2 linked regions of the Callithrix jacchus genome follow. The protein of the gene in region 2 purifies or fractionates together with the protein of the main gene of each other region. This does not show direct contact. Links are inferred from orthologs where the notes say so. Each region holds a gene or a part of one and is shown on either strand. Other genes may lie near its edges. The genes, in order: YIPF3 and SLC22A5.

Region 1 (3,913 bases), on a different chromosome or scaffold from region 2:
AGACAGCACTAGGCCATGAAGTTCTGGAGGGCAAGGCCTGAATCTTACTCATCTCTAACTCCAGGGATTGGGGCCTGGCCTAGAGGACATGTTAGATGACAGGGGAGAACAGGGTAGTAAAGATATACAGGGAATGAGGAAATCATTTCCTTGCCCCTAAAATTACTTCCAGGAAGGTTAACCCTCTGAAACTTAGCTGACTGAAACAGCAGCTATGTGCAGAACTCAGCCCTGCTGGGCCTTCAGAGAGGGCCTGACCATGTATCTGTCACCCCGTCTCCCCTTGAAAAGACAGGCAGACCTCAGCAGAGAGTACCCAGAGTATTAGACTGTAATGGGGAAGCCCTAGAAAAGGTCTAGTCAGCTAGATGGAAGGTTTAGAATGAAAGGTGTTACTGAGGGAACAGTAAGAGTGCCTCCAGGCACTGTCGAGCATTTTCTTGAAAAACATATGTGGAGTAGTAAGAAAATTCAGTCACCGCTCCCCACCCCCGTCCCTGCCAAGGTGGCTAGCTCCTAATCATACCTTGGATTTTAGCTAGATTTTACTTCCTTTGGGAAACCTGCCCCGTCCCACCCACCAACCTGCTATGGCTCACATATCGATCCCGTGTACCCCATCATAGCATGAGGACTGTACTATAACTGTACTCAAGAGCAAGGCTCCCATCCATCTTCACCACCGAACCGGATACAATTAGCATAGGGTCTGCCACAGAGCAAATGCTTAATAAATACTTGCTGAGTGGTCCTGGGTATTTGCTTAGCACTGATTAAAGGATGAACAACAACAAACAAAACAAGCCAGGATTATATCTAGTTCTTGAAAAGTCACTCAAAAACTATGCCCTGATATTCTGGTTCAGAGACTGTTCTGGTGCTGGGAATAAAAAGATAAACAAGATAGAGCCTGCTCTGGGGGGAAAATTCCAGCAATATGAAAGGATGGCAGTGCTGAAGTGCTGTCTGTTGGAGGCAAGTGTTCTATAGGAATACCAGGAGAGAACAAACTGGGGATGGGATTGAGGAATGTGGAATAGGGGAAGTGACATCTGAGGTAGGTTTTGAGGGAAGATGAGTAGTCGGCTAGATGGAAAAGAGGAGGAAGGCGCTGTGTTATGATTATTTGTGTTCAATGACAGGTGCAGTGATGAGAGGTGATGAGGTCACGAAGAGGGGGAGCCCACCAGAGCACAGGGCTTGTAGAGTGCATGAAGGAGTAGGTATTAGGAGGGAAGCTTCTTCAAGAGAAGGCTCCTCACCTGCTTCGCACCTGGGCAGGCTCCACATCAAAGTAGGGTCTCAGGATGTCGATGTTGGCATACAAGCTGAAGGCCCTGGAGGCTTGTCTCTTCCCAGCCTGCCACATCTGAAGGAAGATGGGCATAGGTATTGTGGAACTCTTGGCATTAGACCCTGTTGCCTATTTTCCATTTGATTTCTACCAGGACAACCTGGGGCGACACACCAATACCAACTCCAGGACATGGGACACACCTAGGTTTACTTTTCCACCTGCAGGGGATTCCATCTTGCTTACCTGATCAGCCACCTGCCGGCTCAGCTGTCCCTTAAAGCCCTTCATGCCCAGGAACTCTCCATCCTCTTCTTCAGCAGCAGCCGCATCAGCGTCTGCATCAGCGTCTACTTCTTCCTCGCGCAGGCGCTGATGCAGTTCACCCATATCCTCGAAGCTAGAGCCTGAGGTATCATCCATGTTCTCCATGTCAATCACAGCTGAGCCTCCGCCCTGTTAAGACAATGGCTCCTAGAGTGCAGGACTTTTCTGTTCCATCCATTAAGTCCTCTGCTCATCCCAGGGCTTAGGGCTTTGTTCTTCCACTGCTGAGGATACGGCTTGGAATCACTACAGATCATGCCACTCCATTCCCCCTCATTTGCTCTCAGAACGCTTGATTTATAGCTTTGGCTATCTTTTCTAGCCTGGGAAACCAACTAGTCTTCCATTCATGTCTTTCTCCTACCTTACCTATCAAAGACTAAAAGCTTGAAAAAGAATCCATTTCTGTCTTTCCAAAGCCCCAAACAAAACTATGAACACAGTATGTTTTCGGCGAGTGCCAGTGAATCCCACCCAACCCCACTCCAGGCCTGACCCCAACCAACCTCCTAACTTGTTCCAAGAATACGTTCTTCCTAACGCCTCGGGCGGGCCCAGAGACCCGAGATCCTCAGGCTGGAGTAGTAGACTAGTCTGGCCCTTTCAGGTCAATGTTAACTCCACTGACTTTTGTGTGCAAGACCCAAAGAAGGCAGTTTTGCAAATGGAGTGAACTTCCAGGCCCCGAGGGAGAATCCCCAAGACACTTCTGGACATCGCCGGCCCTCGGGTTGCTGGCATCTGGTGCCTTGGGGCCATTACCTGGATGTTTTCTTCGAACCCTCCCCATTCCGGGCCAGCTCCGTTTCGGGCGCCGCCCGTCGGCGCCGCTGTAGTTGCCATGCCCTTTGAGGGCTCCCGTCGCTGAAGCCCGCGATAGCCCCGCGCGCAGGGAAGTGTGCGAGATGTGAGTCCCAAGAAGGGAGAGGTCCCAGGTCGCGGAGAGGTGGGATCAGCCGGAACACAAAAAGGAGAAACCCGGATGTTTGGACAAAACCAACTTCCGGAAATTGGGGACGTGGATGAAGGTGGAGCAAAGTCTCGCGATATTTAAGATTCCAGGAGGCGGTGCGTTGCCACGGAGATGGAGCAGTGCTGCTAGAACGCACGCGCCAGCTAGAGCCTGTAGTCTTTTGGAGAGATTGAACATGGCGGCTACTCAGGCCGTGGAAGAAATGCGGAGCCGCGTGGTTCTAGGAGAGTTTGGGGTTCGCAATGTAAGACTTGTGTCCTTGAGCTCAGGCGGGAGGAATGAGAGCGGAACAGGGATGGGTCTTGGGATTGGCGTGGGGATAGCCGTAGGCTCACTGTCCATTTGTGGACAAACTCATCCCTTTGCTCTAGGTCCATACCACTGACTTTCCCGGTAACTATTCCGGTTATGATGATGCCTGGGACCAGGAACGCTTCGAGAAGGTCAGTGGGGCCAGAGTTGTCCGGGGATTGTTAGGAGGGCCAGACCCTGTGGTCTCAGCAGCATGTGTCTGTCTCAGTAGCTGCTCTTGGGGGTCGCTCCGTTTGTAAGTTTTGTTGAGCAATGTGGTAGACCTCCGTTTACAGGCCAAGTTAGACACAGTTTCTACCCAGTTCTGCAAACAAGATGTTCAGTCTTGTTGAGGAATGGTGCGTATAAACAAGTGAATCTAGTTTAATATGGTAAAGGTGGTTGATAGCTGTGAAGATGGCAGGATTCGTGTGGGGAACATTATGCTGAGACCAGGAAGAGGGGCCCAGAGGTACTTAACATTTCTTGAGGAGGGAAGATCTGAATTGAGCTTTGAACGGTAAGTAAAGAACAGGAGTTAAATTAGGAAGGCTTTGAGTTTCAGGTCAGTGAAGTTGAGGATATACAGGTTTTGTGTGTATTTAGTCTATTATTGTTTCACTTAGCTTAAAATAAGGATTAAAATTGCATTTAAATAGATCACTGAATGTTACTGTTTATGCAACTGAACTGTGTGTGCAGTTTATAAAACATGATCTATAAATCTGTGCTTGGGAAAATTTTACTTTTTTTAACCTGTTGATACAGGAATAAAGTATGAACAATGAAAAAGGCTAATGCTTGAAAAAAAGTTATGGTGTGAATTGTGCTCCGGGAATGTCCAAGCAGTTCTGGCACTAGTGGTAGGCAAGATTGAAGTGTGTCTTGGGCACTGTTGATGATAGGGAGCTTGAATAGTTAAGCAGACATGATTAGATTTGCAACCCTGATAGCTGGGAGGGAATGAGTTTGAAGAGGATCGTATGGAGCAGGCAGATCTGTTGTAAGGGAAGCTGAGGTTGAAGGTA
Region 2 (3,913 bases):
TTCTCACTTTACTACCTCCCTCTGCTTTAGGCAGCCCCAAGTAGAATTTGTAGGGATTCCTATATCATGTTCCCCTCTTTGTCCTCTGCCTGCAACCCCAGGGACAGCCTCTGCTTTCACAGTACTCACTGGCTTCTAGGAAGGTAACAGACCCAACCTGTGAGGCTAGGACTCAGGATTTATGGCAACTGAAGGTTCCAATTCTCTGTGGATTCATGGGCCTGAAAGCACAGTTGGCTACCTCCAGTGAGTGCCTCTTTTGTCAAGTCATGAAGCTTCTGATCACTGAGGCTATGTCGCTAGCTAAGAAATCTCAGTGGGGCTCAGGTCACACTCCCACTAAATACATGTGGAGAAAGCAGGTCCAGGTGCTGGGGACATCAAACTTCCAAACAGAAAAAACATGCGCATGCACACACACTCAAGTCTCCCAGGGTAGCTCTCAGACTCCCTTGAAGGGTGATGACGTCAAGAAGCAACACAGTTGAGACCTCCAGAGCCCCTGTAAGCCCTTCTGAGGCTCCAGGAGAGAGGCTCAGCACCCACATCCAGCAGGGTGTGAAGCCGTGCCAAGGCCTATAGCACTCTCCCTCTCTATGAACTCTCCCCTCTCTGTAAACTCTGCCCTCCTACTATGTGGTTTTTGTTGTTGCATCTAGACCTTCAGCTTACTATTCTGCTGAGCTGAACACCTTAGACTCGCTGAGAGGCCTCCTCCTCCCGGAAGCCTTCTCTGACCTGTGAATTCCTTATCTGCACATTCAGTGATCCCATCTATCAAAGAGGGCTCTTCACTGGCTGCTTATTCAATGCTGCTAAAACTTCAGGGAGCTAGAGTGCCAGTGTCTGAGAAAGACACAAAACACATGCGTCATTAACATCATGTTCTTACATCCAGCTCCAACAACTGCTCCAACAGGTTCGGAGGGGACAAAACCACCCAGAAGGAAAATCCAAGGGGCTGAGAAATGAGAAAGGTTCCCCGACTCTCTGTGACCTAAGATTGTATACTTTAACTAAGTCTGGCCAACAGCCTTGCCTCAGAATACCTTAGAAAACATTCCAGGTCACCAAGTTACCCTGAACAGATCTTCAGATGAATGGATCTTAAATGACAACTGACCATGGGAAAAGGCAAACACAGGGCATGACCAGACTGTCATTTTGGGTTGTGGAGACGATAGGGGAAAGAGTAATTAGAGGAAATCGGGAAGAGGCAGCTTTATACACATGCTTTATTTTCCAGCACTTTGGGAGGCCGAGGCGGGTGGATCACGAGGTCAACAGATCGAGACCATCCTGGTCAACATGGTGAAACCCCGTCTCTACTAAAAATACAAAAAATTAGCTGGGCACGGTGGCGCGTGCCTGTAATCCCAGCTACTCAGGAGGCTGAGGCAGGAGAATTGCCTGAACCCAGGAGGCGGAGGTTGCGGTGAACCAAGATCATGCCATTGCACTCCAACCTGGGTAACAAGAGCGAAACTCCGTCTCAAAAAAAAAAAAAGTTCAGGAAAGAGAAGTATTTCCTCTCTTCTAAAAAGAAGCCAAGAGACTAGAGGAAAAACGGGATAGCCCCTGACCCAAGCCCTGGCTGTGCTCCTCACCACCCCCAACCCCAACTAGAGGAAGTCCTGGACACTCATGGCCATAGGGCATCTTCCACGGACCGCCAGGACCTTCCTAGTACCCTCTTCAAAGTGGCCATCAGGATGGGAGGCCAGGCTGACAATCTGCTGTGAGGAGCACACTCTGGCTGGAGGTCCCCTCGAAAAGCGTTCCCAAGCCACCTGGCTGGTGGGTCTCCATCACTAGGGTGTTGACTGTGGGGGAGGGGGAGTGGCGGCGTCCAGCGTGCATCTGGGAGAGAGGAGCTCGGGTTCAAGGGCCGGACGATCCCCTCCGTGCCCCAGTCTCAGCCCGGGCGGGGGCTGGCACCCACCTCGGTCACGATGGTGGACAGGTAGACGTCCTGGCTGAACTCCCAGCCATCCAGGCAGCTCTCCAGCTCCAGCTGCCCCAGGTCCACGTCGCGCCCCGGCTCCAGCCCGAGCGCCGAGAAGTTGGCGATGGTGGCGAGCCGGTAGCGGCGGCAGCTGTGGGGCACCTCGCGGCCGTCCTGCAGCCGCAGCGGGACACTGTGGTTGCGCCAGGCGCTGCTCAGGTTAGCGGCGTCCGGCACCCGGCAGCGGTGCGCCGGGGTCCCTATCAGGAACACGGAGGACAGGCCGGTGAAGCCATTGGGGATGATGCTGGCGCTGAGCAGGAAGAAGATGAGGCGCTGGAAGGGCCCCCACTCGCCCAGGAAGGCGGTCACCTCGTCGTAGTCCCGCATGCCGCCCTCTGCGGCCCACAGCTCGCGGCCCGGGGTCTGAGGACGCGGCGGGTTTTGCGCGTGCGCGCGGGGCACACGCCGCCGACCAGGCGAGCCAAGCAGCTAGCGACCGGATACCGTCCGCCGAGGGTAGGCTTGTGAGCTGATACCGCCGCTGCGGTCCTGCCTTACATGGGGCGCTCTGCCAGGGAGGGTTCCGGGCCTGGGCGGTAAGGCCCGCCCTGCCGGCAGGCAGTGTGGGGCTGGCGAGGGCGGAGCTGGGGCGGGACGTAAGGGCGCGGGGCGGGCCGGGTGCACTTGAGGCCCAGGCGGGGTCTGTCCCGGGGGCCTGGCGGCGGCCCGGCCTCCACCAGCCAAGGCAGTAAGGGTTGACCGAGATAGCCCGGGCTCGGCTTAGGAAGGCAGCGAGACTCGCGGTCTTGGGGTGCGAGTCCGAACTCGTTCCTCCAGCGCGGGGTCGGGAGTGAGTGGGAGAGCGGCCGCGAGGCTCCAGTGCTGAAAACGCACCTCTCCCAGCTTTCGGCGAGGCCTACGCGGGGTGGGGGTGGGGACGGGGAGAAAGTGACTGGTCTAGGCTCTCACAGATAGTTGCTGTTGACACCACCTATCCTTATAAGGGGAACTGGGACTGTTAACTGCCCCACTAGAGAGGCTTGGAGCTATGACTTTTCATTCTAGTCCAGATGCCCTTTCTATATTTTCGTCGGTAACAAGCCATTTTATTTATGCCGATATGAAAATTTAACATCACGATTAATGATCCTAGCCTAAGGTTAAATATTCTCCACAGGTTAGTTATTTCTGCGAAGAGTTTGTTCGGGAACTAATAGGAACAACAACAAAAAGCAGCGAGGTGATTCTAAAGCAGCAATGTTCAATAGGATAAGGAGCTATATTTGTTGTTAATTTTTCTACTAGCCATATTAATAAAATTTTCAGATTTAGCAAATAAAAATATAGGACTCCTACTGAAATTCGAATTTCAGATATAGAATGAATAATTTTTAAATATTATGTCCCATGAAGGAATATATAAAATGAAAATGTAACTGGTTGTCTTGTATTTTATCTGGCAATGCTGCATATTTAAAAAGTAAAAGTAAAGGATGAAATTAACTTTAATAGTATATTTAATCAATATATCCAGAACATAATTTCATCATATAATCAATGTAGAAATTATTGATCTTTTACATTGATATATAAGAATCATTGATCTTTTATTTCCTCCCCTTACTAAATCTTAAGAATTCAGTGTGTTTCACATGTTCTCAGGATTTGAAAAAAAGAATCCGGTATGCACTTTACAGCACCTTTAAATTTGGACTAGCCACAATTTTGTTTTTTAATATTTATTCATTTATTTATTGGAGACATGGCCCCACTCTGTTGCCCAGGCTAGAGTGCAATGACACAATCATAGCTCACTGCAGCCCTGAACTCCTAAGCTTAAGCAGGCCTCCTGCCTAGCCTGCCAAGTAGCTGGGACTACAGGCACAGGCCACTATGCCCAGCTAAATTTTTTTTTTTTTGCAGAGACAAGGCATCCCTATGTTGCTTAGGCTGGTTTCATACTCT

Evidence for each region.
Region 1: the proteins of SLC22A5 (region 2) and YIPF3 purify together in Homo sapiens (co-immunoprecipitation; 3 studies listed by BioGRID and IntAct, counting the BioPlex papers as one, with this or other methods). This does not show direct contact. The link is inferred for Callithrix jacchus from reciprocal best matches to the Homo sapiens genes SLC22A5 and YIPF3.

Annotation. Positions count from the first base shown.
Region 1 is NC_133505.1:51,997,196-52,001,108, forward strand, and holds the start of YIPF3 (protein YIPF3), read right to left. Parts: upstream 2,587-3,913; 5' UTR 2,465-2,586; coding exon 2,384-2,464; intron 1,846-2,383; exon of another isoform or gene 1,751-1,845; coding exon 1,541-1,750; intron 1,370-1,540; coding exon 1,263-1,369; intron 1-1,262. Other genes in the region: POLR1C (DNA-directed RNA polymerases I and III subunit RPAC1), read left to right, coding at 2,770-2,838, 2,966-3,037. UniProt on the Homo sapiens protein: Involved in the maintenance of the Golgi structure. May play a role in hematopoiesis.
Region 2 is NC_133503.1:76,088,337-76,092,249, forward strand, and holds the start of SLC22A5 (organic cation/carnitine transporter 2), read right to left. Parts: upstream 2,522-3,913; 5' UTR 2,336-2,521; coding exon 1,943-2,335; intron 1-1,942. UniProt on the Homo sapiens protein: Sodium-ion dependent, high affinity carnitine transporter. Involved in the active cellular uptake of carnitine. Transports one sodium ion with one molecule of carnitine.